3 linked regions of the Astyanax mexicanus genome follow. The protein of the gene in region 3 purifies or fractionates together with the protein of the main gene of each other region. This does not show direct contact. Links are inferred from orthologs where the notes say so. Each region holds a gene or a part of one and is shown on either strand. Other genes may lie near its edges. The genes, in order: sqstm1, dvl2 and vangl2.

Region 1 (3,756 bases), on a different chromosome or scaffold from region 3:
ACTTGAAGCGAGTTCCAGCCACTTGGCCCTCACATCCATCACAGGTCACACCAGGGTGAATCATGGGGGGAGCTTGGTGTGGAGGTGGGCCCATATGTGGAGGTGGTCCATTTGGAGGTGGTCCATGGGGCCCACCATGATGTCCTCCGTGATGTCCTCCATGATGTCCCCCATGATGTTCGCCATGATGTCCACCATGATGGTGCCCAGGTGGCCCCATGTGATGTGGTCCTGGAGGATGGCCAAAGGAAAACCCTGGAAACCCATGTGGAGAGAAGTCACGCTTGTGCTCCTTTTTTTCTGAAAAAACAAAAAAACAAAAAAAAAAACAGGTTATTATTAAGAAGGTTATTAACTGTGAAAAAAGGATTAAAACTGGTTTTATGCTTTAGGTTTTAGGTCTGATCAGATGATATCAAGCATTTCCACAGATTCTCACACTGAATGTTTGCCAAAATGTTCTTAATAAAATCTTTATGTAAGATTCACAAACAACCGTTTGCATTCTTATGCAACTTACCCTTAATGAAGAGACGGAAGGTGTCTTCCTTCACCAGAGTCAATCCCATCATGAGCTCATCATCAGTGGAGAAGGCAATCATGTCACCATCCTCATCTGAAGGACAAGAGAAAAGCGGAAATGAGTTTCTAATATTTTTCTAATTATTAAACAAACTTTAATATTACCTGAATAAATATAAAACTTAAATTATAATTTTATTTATTAAAGGAAAAAACTATTCAAACCATTTTAGCCTTTCGTGATTTTTTTTTTACCCCTAAGCCTAATAACTTTGTTGCACTACCCTTGGCGGTAACAACTGCAATCAAGCTTTACTGATAACTTGCAATGAGTCTTTCACATCTCTGTGTAAAAGACTGAATTAAATTAAATTATTTTAATTCAGCCTCATTGGAGGGTTTTCGAGCATGAACAGCCTGTATAATATCATGCCACAGCATCTTAATCAGATATTGACTAGACCACTCCAAAACCTTCATTTTGTTTTGTTTTTTTTAGAGACTTTCAGGGGTGGACTTGTTTGTGTGCTTCAGGTTATTGTCCTGCTGCAGAACCAAGGTACGCCTGAGCTTGAGGTCATGAACAGTTGGCTGTACATTCTCATTCAGGACTGTCTAGTAAACAACAGAATTCCTGGTTCCATCTGTTACAGCAAGTTTTCCGGGTTCTGAAGGAGCAAAGCAGCCCCAGACCATCATACTACCACCACCATGTTTTACATTCAGGATGATGTTTTTTACTAAAATTATGTGTTAGTTTTACGCCATTTGTAGAGGGATACAAACCTTCCAAAAAGTTCCACTTTTGTCTCATCAGTGCAAAGAACATTTGTCCAAAGTCTCCAAGATGTTTTTTGAAAAATGTGAGACGGGCTGTTCTTTTTGGTCAGCAGTGTATTTTGCCTTGGAACTCTTCCATGGGTACAACTTTCGACCAGTCTCTTTCTCATTATTATATCATTAATACTGATCTAATTGAGGGAAGTGAGACCTGCACTTCTTTATATGTTGTTTTAGGTTATTTTGTGACCTCCTGGATGAGTTGTCCATGCCATTTTGCAATAATTTCGGTCTGCCGGCCACTCCTGGGAAGGTTCAGTGTTCTTAATTCTACAGGTCTGGCAATAATCACGCCTGGTTGTGGATAGTGAAATTGAACTCAGCTTTCCAAAGTGTGATTAATCAGTTAATTTATGGGGGACAAACACTTTTTTTTACAAAGGGCTAGATTGGTTTGGATAGTTTGTTTGATATAAAAATTTGATCATCTGAAAAATGTAAGTATGACAAAAATTCAAAAGAAATCTGTAAGAGGGCAAATACTGCCACTGTACATATATGTATAAATGTATGTATGTATATATATATCATGAAAATATGCTGAAATGCTGTAAAACATCTCATTTAGAGATTTAAACACAAAACTCTGTTTGAGCTTAATTAGGTGTATTTCCATTACAAGGGTGGAGTCGACACACAACCAGAAACAATGAAGGAAAACAAGTCTGAGCAGCTGAACCTGTGTTGATATAATATGCTGATGAACATGAACATGAACTAGCTAACCTAGCTTACTGTCTGTTTCTTTATACTGAAGTTAGAATATTAGCTATCTAAAAACCTTAAAACACATTATAATTATACTGTAAACTTAATTATAGCTTACTGTCATTACATATATACTATATATATATATATATATATATATATATATATATATATATATATATATATACACATACAGCAGGGGGCACTTCAGTTATATATATACACAAAATAAACTTGTTTAAGGTATAGTTTTATAACCAGACCAAAGTCATAATGTCATAGTGTAATAGTGAAAAGAGGCTATAGCTCAGATTTAACCAGATTACACGATGCCCATTAGCTAACCTCGCTAAGTAACTAAGAATTAGTTACAGTGTAATAAGGTGGTATTAAGGCCTCGGTTGGCCGGTTAATAAATAACCCATTCAGGTTAAAGTCCCATTAAACCAAACACTGGAGGAAGGAGCCCAGCCTGTGTAACCCCACACTATTATAACTTTATCTAGTTAAAGAGATTATTTCTGTATTAAAGTCCTAACTTACCTTTGTAGTACATTTGGAATGTGGCATTCCGGAGGTTGGTAAAAACATCCACCACTTTGCGGCTCAGGTACTCGAAACTTGTCGACACGTCCTGGTCGACGGCGAAGCGCCGAATCTCCCTGTGGCTGTCCTCCTTCCCCAGGAGGTAAGCTTTGACGGTCATCGACATTTTCGCGTCTTTTTCTCCCGCGACACAAACTGCTGCGGATCAAGAAGTCGGGCTGTGGGGTTTGTTGCGCAGCAGAAATTCACTTCCCTTTAAATCAGCAGTCAGCTGAGCGTCACGCCTCCTGCAGCCGCGGCTCCTCTCCGATCCTGCCCTCCCGCTCAGCCGCAGCTTTTATACCGCCCAGCCGCCCAATCGGAAACACGGCCTGGGTCCTGGGGGGCGGGGCTAAGTGCTTCTTGACAGGCGGACAAAGCTCACGGCGTGTTATTGTGATCAGAGGCAGTACAACAGCGCGGGGTGGGGGGGGGGGGGGTGGGCGGGGCCAAGCACAGGGGGGATGTTAAAGGCCGAGGAATGACACAGCACTTTCCACCCGGGGATTTCCCCCTGATATCACCACCGAGGACATGTCTCTGTCACTGTGCATACAGCGCCTTTTTAACCTAAAATCAGTTAAACTAAAGTAAAACTAATTTTACTACCAACACTTCAAATTACAAAACCCTGTAATGCTATTTTTACTAGTAGAATCGTTCAGAGTTAAAGATTCATCTATAAAATGTTTGTTAGTAATAATATCAGACCCATTAATTTATAAAACCATTCTAACTAGTCACAGCACAACATATCCTTATAACATAAACTATTTCTTACTAATGTGTCAAAATGGAGAAAATCAGGTACACCATTAGAGGCTCGCTGAGCACCTAAGAAAATGTGGGAACCGTTCTTTGTATATGTGAGGACCTTACAATCCTTTGTTATTCCTGAGTAACTGTTGAATATTTATTGTATGATTGTGTTTTTCTATCTATTATGTTATTTATGTTTCTTTTTTTAGTATTCTTTTTTTCAGCGTACCTTTTTTGTATTTTTCCCTCTATTTTTGCTTAGACTTATTTGATTGGATTGGATTTTGTTCTGCATTATTACATGAAAAAAATAATAAATAAACCTGGAAAAAATATTTCTGA
Region 2 (3,756 bases), about 6.3 Mb from region 3:
TCTTTCATTCTCTGCTTATTTTTGTGTGTTAAACACTTTGGTACTCTTTGCTTAAATTAGATTTAACCTAAAACACTAACTAGGAGGGTCTGATACATGACAACCTGCCAGGACTCACTGAGCTGAACTACGAAAAACAAGATGACAAACAAAAAGGGTTTAATGTGACAGTGAACTGACAAATAGTGTTCATTAACTATTAATCAAACAAAGCTATTAAGCCACAACATTTCCATGTGCATGATAAAACCTTTTGTGTGAGTAAACACACAAAAAATTCTCCCTTATTGCACCCAGATTGCTGCACAAGTCAGCATGGAGTTACTTCTCAGACAGACATAAACCAATTACAGGTTTGGTCTGAAAAGGCTGTCAGAGGCTGTGTTTAGGTAGTGTACCTCTTGGTGAGAGAATGTTGACTACTAGACATGCCTCTACAACTCACTTCAAGACATTTTGCCAAGCTGTCTCAGCCAGAATGCAGAGAGCATTTATGGGACCATCTGCAACACCAGCTTCACCAACTCACCAGCTTCAGGCAAACTCTGTCCCAAACCCAAAATCCCAAACTCTGTTTCAAACCAAAATCCCAAACCAAAATCCCCAAACCCCTAACCCTGTCCCAAACCAAAATCCCCAAACCCCTAACCCTGTCCCAAAACAAAATCCAAACCCAAACCAAAATCCCCAAACCCTTAACCCCGTCCCAATCCCAAACCAAAATCCCAAACCCCTAACCCTGTCCCAAACCAAAACCCAAACCAAAATCCCCAAACCCCTAACCCTGTCCCAATCCCAAACCAAAATCCCAAAACCCCTAACCCTGTCCCAAACCAAAATCCCCAAACCCCTAACCCTGTCCCAAACCAAAATCCCCAAACCCCTAACCCTGTCCCAAACCAAAATCCCCTAACCCTGTCCCAAACCAAAATCCAAACCCAAACCAAAATCCCAAACACCTAACTCTGTCCCAATCCCAAACCAAAATCCCAAACTCTGTTCCAAACCCAAAATTTCTAACTCTTTCCCAAACCCAAACCAAAATCACAAACTCTGTCCCAAACTCAAAATTTCTAACTCTTTTCCAAATCCAACCCAAGATCCCAAACTCTGTCCCAAACCCCTAACCCATGCCTGTTCCTCGGGTGAGCAGGACCCTCCCTGGCTGGGCTGACGTCACGCGCCGCGTTGGCCTTCACTGGAGAGGAGTTTGAAACTCCGCCGTGTTGTTGTTGGAGGAAAAGCAGCGGCTGCAGGAGAGCAGAGAGAGCAGAGCTGAGCTGAGTGCGGGTGTGATTTGTGCAGCCGGGCGCTTTTTTAAGGGTTTAGCTGATTGTTTTGAGTTAGTTTAGGAGGAGAAAGGGAAATGTTGGGGATATAGAGGCAGTGGAGGTGGGCTGGGGGCCGTTGGAGCTTTTTTTTGTTGGTTAAAAGTTTATGCTCGCTTGCTTGGAAACGCTGGGTAAAGTTAGCCTGAGACTCCAGTCTGCTCCAGTCGACCCCCTCCACCACCTCCTCCCTCCTCCCTCCTCCTCCTCCTTCTTCTCCTCCTCCTCCTCTTCTTCTCGTTAGCTGGGCTACCCCTAGCGTTAGCCAGTTAGCTAGCTAACCTAGCTAGCCTCCCAGCCTCTTCCATAGTTTAGAGGATCCAGAGGGGGAAAGTAGAGGAGAAAGAATGGCGGAGACTAAAATAATTTATCACATCGATGAAGAGGAGACGCCGTACTTGGTGAAGATTCCCATACCGGCGGAGAAAATCACTCTGCTGGATTTTAAACAGGTCCTAAACAAGCCGAACTACAAATTCTTCTTCAAGTCTATGGATCAGGACTTCGGGTGAGTGAGGGAAGGAGGGAGGGATAGAGGAGTGGGGGCTCTGCAGGAATGGGTTGCCATGCAAATGATGTGGCCGAGAGGAAGAAAAGTTCTTATAAAAACTTTAAAAAGTTAGAAAAAGTTTACATTCCTCGCTCCCGTTGTAGATTATGGCTCCACACGCCTTGTTGAGCTGAAGGATGAACTTTTTAACAGTTTCTTCTAAAGGAAAAGTTGACAGTTAGGCTGACTGTTAACAACAGCGTCCAGGTTTATAAGCTAGGTTAGCTAACCTACTGCATTGTTCAAGGTAGCGTTAGGTTAGCACACTATCAGTTAAATCAGACTCCGCCGGATAAAAAAACAAAGACACGCACAGAGGATTTAACATTTTTAAACATTTTAATGCATCTAAAATTAGATAAAGCTGTTTTAGCTAAATGTATGATAGTTCTCCTCCTGACCAAGCTAACCCAGCTAGCGTTAGGTAGCTGCTTATCCTAGTTGAATGTCAGGCCCACCAAAGTACAGCATAACTGGTTAACTAATTTAACGTTACTTGTTAACTAACTAAGCTAACGTTACGTAAATAAAATCCAAACTCAAGCCAGCTAAATCATGAATCATCATGGGCTATGTCAAGCCCTTTTAGTCCTAACTCAGTTTTTACACTCTGTAAAGCATTTTAAAACTAGTTAACGTTACTCTTATTTCAGGTATCATCTATAACATTTTTACAATTCTGACAATTCATGTTACCAGGACAACATATCCATAATATACTTTATTATATACTATTATACTAATATACTTTACCAATAGTTCCAGTTTTTACTAATAAAATCTTCAGTTACAGATATCTATAATTATTTTTTTTACTAGTAATTTACTAGTTACACTTTCAGGTATCGTCTATAAGTTAGCTAGCATTTTTACAATTCTGACAAAAGTCATGTTATCAGGACAACATATCCATAATATACTTTTGACTAGTCAGAGTCATCTCTTACCTATAGTTCCAGTTTTTATTACTAAAATCTTTAGTTACAGATATCTTTTGATATATATATATATATTTATTTATTTTTTACAATTAATTTATTAGTTACACTTTCAGCTATCCTCTATAACCTAGCTAAAATGTTTACAATTATGACAAAAGTCATGTTATCAGGACAACATATCCATAATATACTTTTGACTAGTCAGTCATCTCTTACATTTGGTTACAGTTCTTACAACTACAATCTTTAGGCTTTAACTATTGTTTTTACTAGTTATTTATTAGTTAAGTTACACTTTCAGGAACCGTCTATAAGCAAGCTAATATCTTTACAATTCTCACAAAAGTTATGTTACCAGGACAACATATCCATAACATATCCATAATGTTCAAAAAAAGTCCAAAAGTTGTAATTTCAGACATCTGCAATAATTCTCACTTGTAACAAGTATAGGTCCATATATCTGTAATAGGGCGTTATTATTTTAGGGCGACATGGCCTTAAAATAATATCATGATTTTTTTAGGGTATTTTTGCAGTAACAATATTCTTGCTGTTATGACAAAACATTGACAAATAAAACAAAATGTCAAGAATACACAACTGCAACAAAGTAAATGTTAAATTATATTTGGAAATATTATTGCATACGCTGTGATATGGAAGATCCCTGTTATCTAATTGTAACAGAAGTCAATGATCCAACATGTCATGTCACTAATAATGCATTCCTCTGTTCAGGATTGAAGTAAAATAAATTATATGGACATATTAAATACACTTTTTAATGGCAAATGAGAACAGTGTGAATTTTCCTTTTGGTACAAACAGCATGCTGTACGAACAGCATGGCCCAAATGTCCCTAAACTAATATGATATTTCAGGGTATTGTTGCAATAACACTATTCACAAAAGTTGGCGATGTTATTGCGTACA
Region 3 (3,756 bases):
TACTGAAGACAACAATTTTAAAATCTTAAATTACAGTTATAAGGCTTTTTTAACATCCTCTAGCTGAATGTCCAGTAGGGCCTCGTCAATAATATCGCCTACATTTTTAAATATAGTGAACGCCTGGAATATCGTGTCATATCACCCACCCCTAATTATCACATCAAGGTACTACTTTTAGTGCTGTTTTAAGCAAAATAAAAATTCACACGCCCCATGTCCCATTACAAAGCTCTGGAAAAAAATAAGAGACCACTTAAAAATTATGAGTTTCGTTGATTTTGCCAAATGGGAAACCTCTGGAATATAATCAAGAGGAAGATGTATGATCACAGCCATCAAACCAAACGGAATGCCAGGAGTGGCATAAATTTATCCAAAATGTGATGCGAATGACAATAAAATCTCCTTGAAAAAGCAGTGTGTGAGACTGGTGGAGAAGAACATGCCAAGATGCATGAGAACTGTGATTAAAAAACAGGATTATTCCACCACATATTGATTTTTGTCTTGCATTATTTGAGGTCTGAAAGTTGTGCATCTTTTTTTTGTTATTTCAGCCATAAATGCTATGAATATTTTTATTTGGAATTTGGGAGAAATGTTGTATGTACAACAATGTTAATTTTACTCAAACATTTACCTATAAAAAAACTAAAACAGAGAAAATGATTCAAAAACTGAAGTGGTCTCTTATTTTTTGTGCTTTGTGCTTTTAAACTTTTAAACTCCGGTTATCCAGTTATAAGACTTTTAAACATGCTCTAGCTGTATATCCAGCACATAGTAGCAGCAATGCTAGCGTCTTTGCTGCCTAAGAATCGTTAGTTTTAGAGAAATTTAAGTATAAAATTCAAATTTCTTTGCTTTTATAGAAAAAATATTTTTTTTTTGCTTTCTAAAAATTTAAGAAAACCCAAGATGAGTAGTTAGACACTATTTTTAATTTGAGCTTTTAGCCGTTTAGCTCCATTCACTCCCATTATTTGAGGACTCGCTCGCGGGCTCCCCCTAGCGGATCGTGATTGTTATGACATAACAAGGAGAATAGGAAGTGGGCAGGCTCTCTGTAAACAGGCTCTGCAGCTAACCGCTCCCCCTCCAGATCCAGGAGGAGCAGGAGCAGAAGAAGCTAGCTAGCAAACTGGACTGAAGCTGGGATTGGACTGGATTTGAGGGCTTTTCTTGCAAACCAGTCCATCTAAACTTTTAAAAAGTTAGCTTAGCTTCAATACATAGCTTTAGTAGCCTGTAACTTAGCTAGATAGCTAGCTGACTGACTGACTGTGTGTGTGTTAATGGAAAGGGGTGGGGGTTGAAGTAGTTACAGCTGCTGCTGCTGCTGCTGCTGCTTCTTTATGGTCGTCCACTGTCTTTGGAAGAAGAGGATAAAGGAGATAGCTGGATGATAGAGACGCACCATACAACAAACAAGCCGTGCCTTTTCCTAGCTAGCTTGCTAACCTAGCTAACCTACTCTCCATGATCTCCACCGCCCTTCGCCTGGATGCTTTCCCAGCAGATCTGCTGCTCCATGTGATGAATGAACGTATTCACACACACAGCGGGGCTCAAAGCGCACTGGAGTACCTCCAAACAAGGCTCTCGGATCTCACACTACGCTCATCCTAGCGAGTATCGCCTTTGTTGAGCTTTGTTTTCTTGTTTTCCTCTAAACCCGAGCTGCCTTTTGTGCCAAACATCACAGCGGAACCCAGAAACGCACGGTTTGTCTCTTAGTTTGGAGCAGAAAAAAGGCAGCGGCTCTTGGATTTCCCTTTGTGTTGCTCCTGCCAGGCCCTCGGATCCGCTCTCAGAGACGGGGTGAGTCTACAAAGTGTCGTTTTTAACCAAAAACGAAGCCTGTTTTTCACTCTTTTGTCCGTTCCTTTCTTTCTCCCTTTCTCTTTCCTTCTTTTGTTGGGCTGAGTGGCTGCATTGCATTTTCTAGCTTCCTGCAATCACTTATTTATTAGACTGTGCTCACTAATGGATAGCTAGGTAGCGTTTGCTAGCTAACCTAGGTTATGTACGTTAGCTAACGTTTGATACCTTGGATCATTGTTAGCTAGAAGTTAAGTTAGATAACTATAGAAAAACTCAGTGTGGAAAGGGATTAAATGAAAATGATAGCATTAATAGACGTTGCAGGACATTCCTTCTCCAGTTTAAGTCACTATAAGCAGTGTTTTAACCCCAAAAACACGTTCAATTTACAATTGACTCTTCTTTACATTGTTTGAGCTTTCAAAAACTTAATTATAATAAGCAAATACATTAATTCCTCCTTTAGTTTGAGTCACTTTGTTTAGAGTTTAACTCCAAATCACATTAAATCTCCCATTGACTCCTAAGCCTTTATTATAAAGGCTTAATAATCAGCGAGAACATTTATTTCTCCTTTAGTTTCAATCTTCAAACCATCAATTAACCCTACAGGACCATCTTTAACCCTAAATTCAGTGTGAAAGCAGAGTTGTGAACCTCAAAACACGTGAAATGTCCCATTTGACTCATATCTTTTCATTGTTTAAGCTGTTAAAGGTTTAAGAATCAGCATAAACTAAATTCATTAACGTTACTCCTCCAGGTTGAAACTAAACCATAAATCAACTGAATAAACCATCTTTAACTCTAAATAATTAGTGTTAAAGCAGAGTTTTAACCCCAAAACACGTTAAATCTCCCATTTGACACCTGACTTTTCGTTCTGTGAGCTTTTAAATACATAATAATTTTATAGACACAAACCTTAATTGCTTATTCAGTTTGAATTCCTAAACCATGTTTTAAACTTCAGTTATTCTAAAGCCACACAATGACTACTATATTTTCATTAAAATTATAAAGGCTTAATAGCCAGTAAAACCTATGAACAGCTCTTAGTTCAATTTATTTACTCTTTTACTTTTCTTTAAGCTTTATGCCTTAAAAATATGGTATTAAATAATGTGTAAAAAGGACGTTAACCCTTCCATTGTAGCTATAGTATTTGAATGCAACTTCTGTAGGATTTTTCTAACCTATCAAGAATAAAACGTTTCAAAGTGCATATATGACGTATTATATTTGTATTGTTAAAGCTATAAATGGCTTAACTAATACTAAATAAATAAACAGTAAATCCTTATTCAGTTTAAGTATATAAGCAGTTTTATAACCCTACGACGATTTAAAGCAGTTTGAGTCTCTAAAGTAATTTTTCTTTACCTAAAATCTTTTAAAGCTCCTTTACAGTTTATTTTTGCCTTATTTAAACGTTTAATGCATTAAAAGTAACCTGGTATGATATAACTTAGTATGTGGGTGTCTGGAAATGGCTCTTCCATTCCACCTTAAATGGTGCAGTAATTAAAAGCAACTGCAATTATAATTATTTTTAATTAAATAGCTTAAAGCTCTACATTCGGTCTGTTTTCTGCCTGTTTAAGCTTTGTAAGTGCCTTAAAATATGTAATACTAAACTAAATTTGGCATCCATACCACCTTAAATGAAGCAGTGTAACCTCTGCAGCGTTTAAGGTGGAATGGAAACAAAAGTCAAATAAGATGCGTTCATAAAGTCGTCAAATTAAACGTAACTAGTTAAAAATGTTTGACCTGAACATATTTTGCCAACGTAAAAACTCACCCTGTTTTAGTCTAATCTCTCTCGGAAATGGCTTTAACCAACTCAGTTGTCCTCAGTTCGCCTGGCTGCACTAAACTTAAGCCAAAGTGAGAGTGAATCATAGCTACTTTTGTATTTTTGTCGGC

Evidence for each region.
Region 1: the proteins of vangl2 (region 3) and sqstm1 purify together in Homo sapiens (affinity purification with western blotting; 3 studies listed by BioGRID, with this or other methods). This does not show direct contact. The link is inferred for Astyanax mexicanus from reciprocal best matches to the Homo sapiens genes VANGL2 and SQSTM1.
Region 2: the proteins of vangl2 (region 3) and dvl2 purify together in Homo sapiens (affinity purification with mass spectrometry; 4 studies listed by BioGRID and IntAct, with this or other methods). This does not show direct contact. The link is inferred for Astyanax mexicanus from reciprocal best matches to the Homo sapiens genes VANGL2 and DVL2.

Annotation. Positions count from the first base shown.
Region 1 is NC_064417.1:17,978,247-17,982,002, forward strand, and holds the start of sqstm1 (sequestosome-1), read right to left. Parts: upstream 2,941-3,756; 5' UTR 2,783-2,940; coding exon 2,614-2,782; intron 617-2,613; coding exon 521-616; intron 301-520; coding exon 1-300. UniProt on the Homo sapiens protein: Molecular adapter required for selective macroautophagy (aggrephagy) by acting as a bridge between polyubiquitinated proteins and autophagosomes.
Region 2 is NC_064415.1:18,704,019-18,707,774, forward strand, and holds the start of dvl2 (segment polarity protein dishevelled homolog DVL-2), read left to right. Parts: upstream 1-1,178; 5' UTR 1,179-1,675; coding exon 1,676-1,836; intron 1,837-3,756.
Region 3 is NC_064415.1:12,406,706-12,410,461, forward strand, and holds the start of vangl2 (vang-like protein 2), read left to right. Parts: upstream 1-1,106; 5' UTR 1,107-1,824; intron 1,825-3,756. UniProt on the Homo sapiens protein: Involved in the control of early morphogenesis and patterning of both axial midline structures and the development of neural plate. Plays a role in the regulation of planar cell polarity, particularly in the orientation of stereociliary bundles in the cochlea.